Linked DNA regions of Oryctolagus cuniculus. The protein of the gene in region 1 purifies or fractionates together with the protein of each later gene. This does not show direct contact. Links are inferred from orthologs where the notes say so. Each region holds a gene or a part of one and is shown on either strand. Other genes may lie near its edges.

Region 1 (2,956 bases):
TCCCGAGATAGAAAGAAGGAATCAGTTTCATTTGCCATCCTCAAAATGTACATTAACACTGTAGCCTGAGCTGTAATCCTTGTGAGCCAAAAGACTCGAAGTATATCTGGGAAACGAATCCTCTTCCATGTGTCCTCCATCAGTAGCTGTAATCCATAAATTCGATACATGTGCCTCACTAAAAGATAAACATAGCGTGTGGAATAATAGAACCACTTAAGTTTCACTACCAAGACAAGCACTGTATTTAATATGAGAATCAAGGAAGAAGCAAAAACTAAAGTCTCTCTGATGTGTAATGGTAGCTCTGTGATTAAGCCTATTACAGGAACCAAGAGGTCCAAAATAATTAGCTGCGAATGGATGGAATGAATCTGGAGTAGTGTAATGTATCCAATCCCAAATGTTAGTTGCAGAAGGATGATGGCCATCCACAGCGAGGGCCCTTTCCGAGGAAGCAGCTCAATTTCAAAAGCTGATGTGTTGTAGGCACCTTCATAGAAGTCAATGTGCAAAGCAGCGTAGTAATTCACCAGCACTGCAGACGTTACTAACAGAAAGGTTGAGCTGTACATGTAAAACTTGAAAAGTGATCGCTGGGACAAGATCAGAACAATACTGGATACAAAGATACCTACAAAGAAAAAAGAAAAGGTCATTTGAATGAAATATTTTTAAGAATGGTTTTCCATTAGTACTTACATTCTTTGATATTCTTCCTTTAATTATGAACATTCTCAAAGATATGAACATTAAGCCTAAAGACAATTTAGGCTGAAAGGGCAGAAGTTCTGTAAAGTCAGAGTTCAACAGGACAGACCAAATTATTTTTTAAAAAATCTCAATCCTTATTTTCTAATTTCCAAAGTAATTCAACTAATACTGTATGTCTAGGCACCCAATTACTAAACTATCTTTATTCAAGACAAACTGGTAGTTATACATCCATTTTAACATATTTCAAAACATGCCAACTGTAATTCCACAATCATTAAATTTGTGGAATTAAATATATTTTGAAATTTAAAATAATTTATCAAAAAACATTAATTAAAAATCCAAATGGAAAGCATTTGTTCCTATTAAGTCTTAGAATTCTTCATTATAAAGTGTTTTTTGGGAAATCAAGTTTACGTGTTTAAGTTTATTTTGTTTGAAAAGCAGAGAGAGCTCTTCCAGCCTATGGTTCACTCCCGAAACATCCAGAAGAGCCAGGGCTGGGCCAGGGTGAGAAAGGAGCTGGCAACTCAATCCTGGCTCTCCCAGGTGGGTGAGGTGGACCCAAGCACTTGGGTCATCACCTGCTGCTCAGGGGATGCATTGGCAGGGAGCAGGACTGCAAGCAGAGTCCCGGGGCTGGAAACAAGCTCTCCCATATGGGATGTGGGCGAGCCAAGCAGCCTTTTAACCACTGTGCCGACACCACCCAAACATTTAAGTGTTATACTTCCACGTAATTCCTCCTTTTCTGCAAACTGTGAACTTGTATCAGCTCTTTTTTCTGCTCCTTAAATTTGAGCATTCTCTAAATGTCCAAATTCAATCTTTTTTCTCTACATACTTCCCTTCAGATTTGAGAAATGCCCTCCAAGTTCCCCGAGTCTTATTTCTTCAAGCAGCCAACCATTCTTACTGTTCTTCAAATCACAAAAGGAAAATTCAGAAACCAAAACATGGTGAGCAGAAATGGTACTAACTCTCCCCCTCCTCTACTCCATCCCTAACCAATCTCAACAGTCTAATGATGTGTATCCAGCCTGACTTTTCTCTGTGCTCTGACAAAAAACATACTTTTTTGTTTTTGTTTTGTTTTTTTTTGTTTTTTTTGACAGGCAGAGTGGACAGTGAGAGAGAGAGACAGAGAGAAAGGTCTTCCTTTGCCGTTGGTTCACCCTCCAATGGCCGCCGCGGCCGGCGCGCTGCGGCCGGCGCACCGCGCTGATCCGGTGGCAGGAGCCAGGAGCCAGGTGCTTTTCCTGGTCTCCCATGGGGTGCAGGGCCCAAGCACCTGGGCCATCCTCCACTGCACTCCCTGGCCACAGCAGAGAGCTGGCCTGGAAGAAGGGCAACCGGGACAGAATCCGGTGCCCCAACCGGGACTAGAACCCGGTGTGCCGGCGCCGCTAGGCGGAGGATTAGCCTAGTGAGCCGCGGCGCCGGCCAAAAAAACATCCTTTTTAAAGTGAGATTACAGGCCGGTGCCGTGGCTCACTAGGTTAATCCTCCGCCTTGCGGCACCGACACACCAGGTTCTAGTCCCGGTTGGGGCGCCGGATTCTGCCCCGGTTGCCCCTCTTCCAGGCCAGCTCTCTGCTGTGGCCAGGGAGTGCAGTGGAGGATGGCCCAAGTGCTTGGGCCCTGTACCCCACGGGAGACCAGGATAAGTACCTGGCTCCTGCCATCGGATCAGCGCGGTGCGCCGGCCGCAGCGCGCCGGCTGCGGTGGCCATTGGAGGGTGAACCAATGGCAAAGAAAGACCTTTCTCTCTGTCTCTCTCTCTCACTGTCCACTCTGCCTGTCAAAAAAATAAATAAATAAAGTGAGATTACAACAAGCACATTATTGTCCAACTATCAACTGTAGGAATGACATCGAAATACTCATTTAGTTCCACTCCGACATTAAACTGCAAAACTCAAAAGTTCTAAAGCTCAATCTGCCTTACCAAAACCAGCTTGCTTTGTGATTTCCAATTTCAGTTAAGGTAAGTACCATTATTCTTCTCCAGGGTACTTCTACTCCCAGCCCAGACCCTCAATTTTTGCCAACTAGTTGCCAAGTTCTACTAACACCTGTATCTCCCTTTTCTTAGTGACACCAACTAGTCAATCTGCCTCTAAAAGCTCACTTTATCCAAATCTATATTTAAGCCAAACTGCCTTTCTTCATTTTTCTGTTCAAAATGCATAATCCCAAGCTCTGAAATTACCATCAGCTATAACTTCCTTGTCCTGG
Region 2 (4,897 bases), on another chromosome or scaffold:
AAAGCTGGGGCCACAAGACATACGCAGTTCTGACAGGTCCCTGCTGGGCCCATGGTGAGACACTCACAGTTTCGCTGAGTCGACTCGGACAGGCCGGGTCATATGCCCACAGACTGGCCTCAATTTGCAAGGGGGCTCTTGCGTTTTCTTAGGAGACACCACTGAGCATTACTGTGTACACATCCTCTGCGTTACGTCCTACGGCCAGGCCCTCCCGTACTGGTTTCTGTGGCCCAACCCCAAGCTGTGGAAAGAGCACTGACCAGGGAAACAAAGCTTGGCCTCTCGTCCCAGTCTGCCCTCTGATGGGACGTGGCTCTTCATGTTTGTTTTCTCATGTGTGAAATGATGAGGGTTATGCAACTGGAGGGGAGAGGAGGAGGGGTCATGTGGTCTGCGACAGTTAGAAGTCTTCACCCGCAGAGGATCTCAGAGAAGTTGGCTAGGTGGGCAGACATGGCATTTGCGAAGAGAAGGCAAGTGGAAGACAGAAGGGCAGGAATTGTGCAAGGCACAGTGGTGTGAGTGGGAATGCAGGCCTCTGGGATGGCTCTGGGGGGCGGGAGGTTCCTTGTGTAAAGTGCATCTGAGACCTGAGGCTCTTCAAAGTCAGGCAGTAATTGCAACTTGATTGACTATAAAAGTGGGAATTTTAGGTTCTTCAGCCGAGAAGCGAGAGTTTTAGCCAGACATTCAGAAAAAAAGAGTCTGAGAAATTGTTTCAGATATTCCTAGGATCCCTTGAAGCTTCCATTACAAATACTCTCAACCAGTTCTCTTTTCAGATCAAGTTTTTGGTTTCAAGAAAGAAACTTCTGTCCCAAGGGTGAATGAAGTGGAAATTTCAAATTTAGATCTATTACTTAAAAAAGTTTTCTATTAGTACAGCCATATACTTCAAGTGTTTAGACACACAAAAGGAGGATCCCATCTGAGAACAGAGATGAGAACTTTCTAGTCACTGCCTCGCAAGTCTGGCATCGTTGTGATAACACGTGTCCCGGCTGGGCCACCAGGCCTCCACCCCAAGGAGACGCTCCGAGGGAGCCGACTGAGATGGGGGCGGTCTGCAGTCTCGAGAGCAGTGGCTCTGCCTCTTACTAGCTGTGTGCTCCAGTACAGTGGACTGAGTTTCCACGTCTATAAAATAGAGCGCTAGCTAGCACAGTATTGTATGGGATAAACGAAGCAACACATCCAAAGCCTACAGCAGTCACTAAGTGCTAGTTAGAAGGCAGAAAAGGATCTTCTTCCTCTTGTACTGTAGCTACATAGATAACTGTTGACTACGGGGTGCTCAATGATAGGGACTTGTTTGGTCAGAGGACATTTCAACAGCTGATAGATAGTGAAGGCCATAGAAAGCACCCAGCAGACACTGGTTACAAACACTGACCCCGAGTGACAGCTGACAGCATCTCTGATGGGCGAGGTACGCTAAAACTGTCAGGAGCAGGAAGGGGACAGCTCTTCCTCCCGTACCCAATCTATGGCACTGTAACAGTTCCAAGGGGGAAAAAGGCTTGGCTTGGCGCCACAGTGCACTTGGCGATCCGGCAGAAGGAAGTGCTGAGAAGTTGCTCCCTTGGCAACCGCCTCTCGAACACATGTGACCGATTTGTTTTCAGTTATCCAGCAGGGTAGCATGTTCGCAGGGGCGACCAATCGCCACTCAGGGCTGCGGCTCACCAGTTCTGCAGGCGGCCAATCGTGGGGCAGCCTGCTCTGGGTGACAGCTGTGGGCTATACTGGAGGCTGTCCCCGGTCAGCCGGGACACTGGAGGGAAGGGACCTCAGTCAACTTGGCCCAGTATTTGCTTAAGCAGCCAATGATCTCTCCACCTCATCTCCATCACTGGGCTTCCCCAAACTTGAAACGAGGGGTGACTTAGACTAGCACTGGGTGCCCCACATCCTCTCTAGTTCTTTCTCTAAATACAGAGATTGGAGATGGCAGTTTTCATCTCTGCATGCTCTCATTTCCAAACAAATGCTTGTTGCAGGCCCCAAACATGTTTTTAACCAAATAGATGCCCTTTTTTTTTTTTTAAATTTTTTCTGATAACAAGGATGGGTACTCACCAGCTGCTGTCCCACAACAGGGAGGGACCCACCAGGCAGAGGAGAAGATGGTGGCAATCACCTCCTCGGGGAAGAGGGTGACATTTCTCTGGATCTGTAGCAGGTTGAGCACCAGGGCCAGGACGACCCCCACCAAGAAGAGCACGAGGCTCCTCTGCACCAAGTGATGATGCCAGCTGTTGGTGTGGCTGCCACTGCCACGGTGGCCACTGCTCGCAACGCTCCGATCCCGGGGAGAGGGGTCAGTGTCCGGGCCACTGTGGGCCACCAGCAGGGAGGGACCGGGCACAGCGGCGGAGCTGATCATGTCTCCCACTCCGGCCGCCAGCCCTGCGGCGCGGGCTCTGAGGGGGCTCTGGTGCCTCGCACGGTGGGGATAGGAGCAGCTCCAGAAGTGGTCGTGCAGTCTGGGCATCAGTCACCAGCGGCGTCCGAAGAGGGGCTTCCTGGAAGACGGAGGGCAAAGAGGAGGCGAAGTCGTGATCAAGTTCAATTCCAAGAGCAGGGTGCTGGGGGGAGGGCCCCTGTGGGTCGCTGCCCTTCATCGCCAGTCCCGGGACCGCGGCTCTCCGATGCCCGCCGCGGCGCCGGGACCAGCTGCCCCCCCACCACACACACACACACACACCACACACACACACACACAGCGCGCGGGTATAAACGTCCCGCCCGCCCAGCGCCGTGCACACCGGCAGGCGCCGCCCCGCCGTGTCCAGACCCTCCGCGTCCGGCCGAGGACCGGGCGCCTGCCCCGGGTCCCCCCCGCGGTAAGAGCGAGCCAACCGACCGCCTCAGAGACGGGGTCCACGCGTCAGTCAGCCGGCCGCCTAGGACGCCAAGCCCGGCGCCGCGCGCGCCATCTCCCGCCTCCTGCCACCTACGCCGCCGGCCCTCGCAACCTGCAGCTTACCTGGCCGAGGGGCGCCCGCCAGCGGGCTGACCGAGCAGGGGCGGGGCGGGGACGGAGGAGGAGTCGCGGCCCGGGACGGCCCCAAGTGTGGCCACAGCGCCGCGAGGGCGCGCGGGCTTATATGGCAGGCCGAGGCCCCGCGTCACGTGACTCGGCCAGGCCTACCCGCCGCCCGCGCGCGCCGCGCGGGGGCGTGGCCTCCGCTCGCCCCGCCCCTGCCGCGTGCCCGTCCGCACTGGGTCTGGTGAGGCGGCCGCAGCCAATGGGAGATGGGCGGCCCATATGACGCGAGCACACGCCACCGCGGGCCCGCGCCGGGCACGCGCTGTCAGGAGGAAGCGCGCGGCCCGGACTCCCGGCGGGTGGAAGGCGGGCAGCGGGTAGGGCGGCTTCGCTGACTGAGGGGCTGGGGAGGGGCGGGGTGGGTGGAGATCACGGCCTGTACGGAGGCGCAGAGGCAGGGCGGACGTGCAGGGCCCCGGCTCAGCCCGTGCCGCCTCTGGACCCTGGTCTGACGCCGCGGCCAGGGAGCGTCATGACGGGGTGGGCGGCGGCTCCGCGCAGAACCCGCCCGGGTGAAGGCGGCAGGTGTGGGTGCGCATCCCGCGACCCGCCCCGTGGGCCGCGGGGGGCTTCCCTTCCGTCGCTCCCCCGGGCGGGGGGGAGGGGTCCCTCGGGGTCCCCGCACCTGCGAGCTCTGGGTTGTGTTCGGGGTTCCCTTACGCGGGCTCCTGGTTCCCACCCTCCAGAGCGCGTGTGTGTGGCAACAAAGCTTTTTATGAAAATGCCAGTGACCACTCCCTCTAGTTTCCGGTGGTCTTTGCTGACCTTTGGAAAGCAAGCCAGCACAAACACGAAACAGAGCACTCGCGGGAAAAAAAAAAACAACAGATCGTGTTATCTCGTGGACGTGATTTCTGCACGTCCCGTTTGCTGACAAGTCACGCCACCCTGCAGGACAGGCCGGGTGCCCGCTGAAAACCCACTTGCTGTTGCGCAAGGGCCAGGCTCCTTAAAAATGTTCTTGAACAGCAACAGAGGAAGAGCGCCCGGGCTTCTGTGTTGTCTGCAGATGGGCGGAGGTGCTGGGGAAGTTTGTGCCCTAAGTAGCAGCTTGGCCCAGAGACCCCAGGGAGTCACTGTGAAGTTACTGAGTCAACATGAGATGTCGCTGTGTAGCATCCTCGGCGTTAAAGTTTGTGGCTGTTAGGCCAGATGCTTGTAAAAAAAAAAAAAAAAAAAAAAAAAGAGAGAGATATCCTCCTAAGGTATCAGTATTTTTCAGAGTCCATTAGGGAAAGGGGGAAATTCACCTGAATTTGACTTAAAAAGTTTAGTTTGTTTGAAAGTTTGACCAGGAGGAAGAGATCTTCCATCCACTGGTTCACTCCCCTAATGGCTGCACCCGCTGGGGCTGGGCCAGGCCAAAAAGCTGAGCCCAGCACTCTGTCTGGGTCTCCTACCTGGGTGGCAGGGACCCAGGTGCTTGAACCTCACCTGCTGCCTCCCAGGATAGCCAGCAGCAGGCATCTGGGTGAGAAGTGGAGCTGGGACTAGAACCCAGAAACTCAAGAGGCAGAATGCTGGTGTTCCAAGCAACATCATAACTGCTATGTCAAACGGCTGTTCCTTGATGTGTTTTTATTTTTATTTATTTTAAGATTGATTTATTTGAGAGGCAGAGTTATAGAGAGACGGAGAGACAGAGAGAGAGGTCTTCCATCCCCTGGTTCTCTCCCCCAGTAGCCACAACATCTGATCAGGAGCCAGGAGCCTCTTCTGGGGCTCATGCAGAGGGCCCATGCACTTGGGCCATCCTCCACTGCTTTCCCAGGCAATTAGCAGGGAGCTGGATTGGAAGTGGAGCAGGCAGGACTTGAACAGGTGCTTATATGGGATGCCGGT

The links. The genes of interacting proteins can lie anywhere in the genome.
Region 2: the proteins of RNF139 (region 1) and INSIG1 purify together in Homo sapiens (affinity purification with western blotting, with the first as the bait; 3 studies listed by BioGRID). This does not show direct contact. The link is inferred for Oryctolagus cuniculus from reciprocal best matches to the Homo sapiens genes RNF139 and INSIG1.

Annotation. Positions count from the first base shown.
Region 1 is NC_091437.1:150,150,723-150,153,678, reverse strand, and holds part of RNF139 (E3 ubiquitin-protein ligase RNF139), read right to left. Parts: intron 635-2,956; coding exon 1-634. UniProt on the Homo sapiens protein: E3-ubiquitin ligase; acts as a negative regulator of cell proliferation through mechanisms involving G2/M arrest and cell death.
Region 2 is NC_091438.1:13,102,702-13,107,598, forward strand, and holds the start of INSIG1 (insulin-induced gene 1 protein), read right to left. Parts: upstream 3,132-4,897; 5' UTR 2,993-3,131; exon of another isoform or gene 2,870-2,992; intron 2,529-2,869; 5' UTR 2,498-2,528; coding exon 2,083-2,497; intron 1-2,082. UniProt on the Homo sapiens protein: Oxysterol-binding protein that mediates feedback control of cholesterol synthesis by controlling both endoplasmic reticulum to Golgi transport of SCAP and degradation of HMGCR.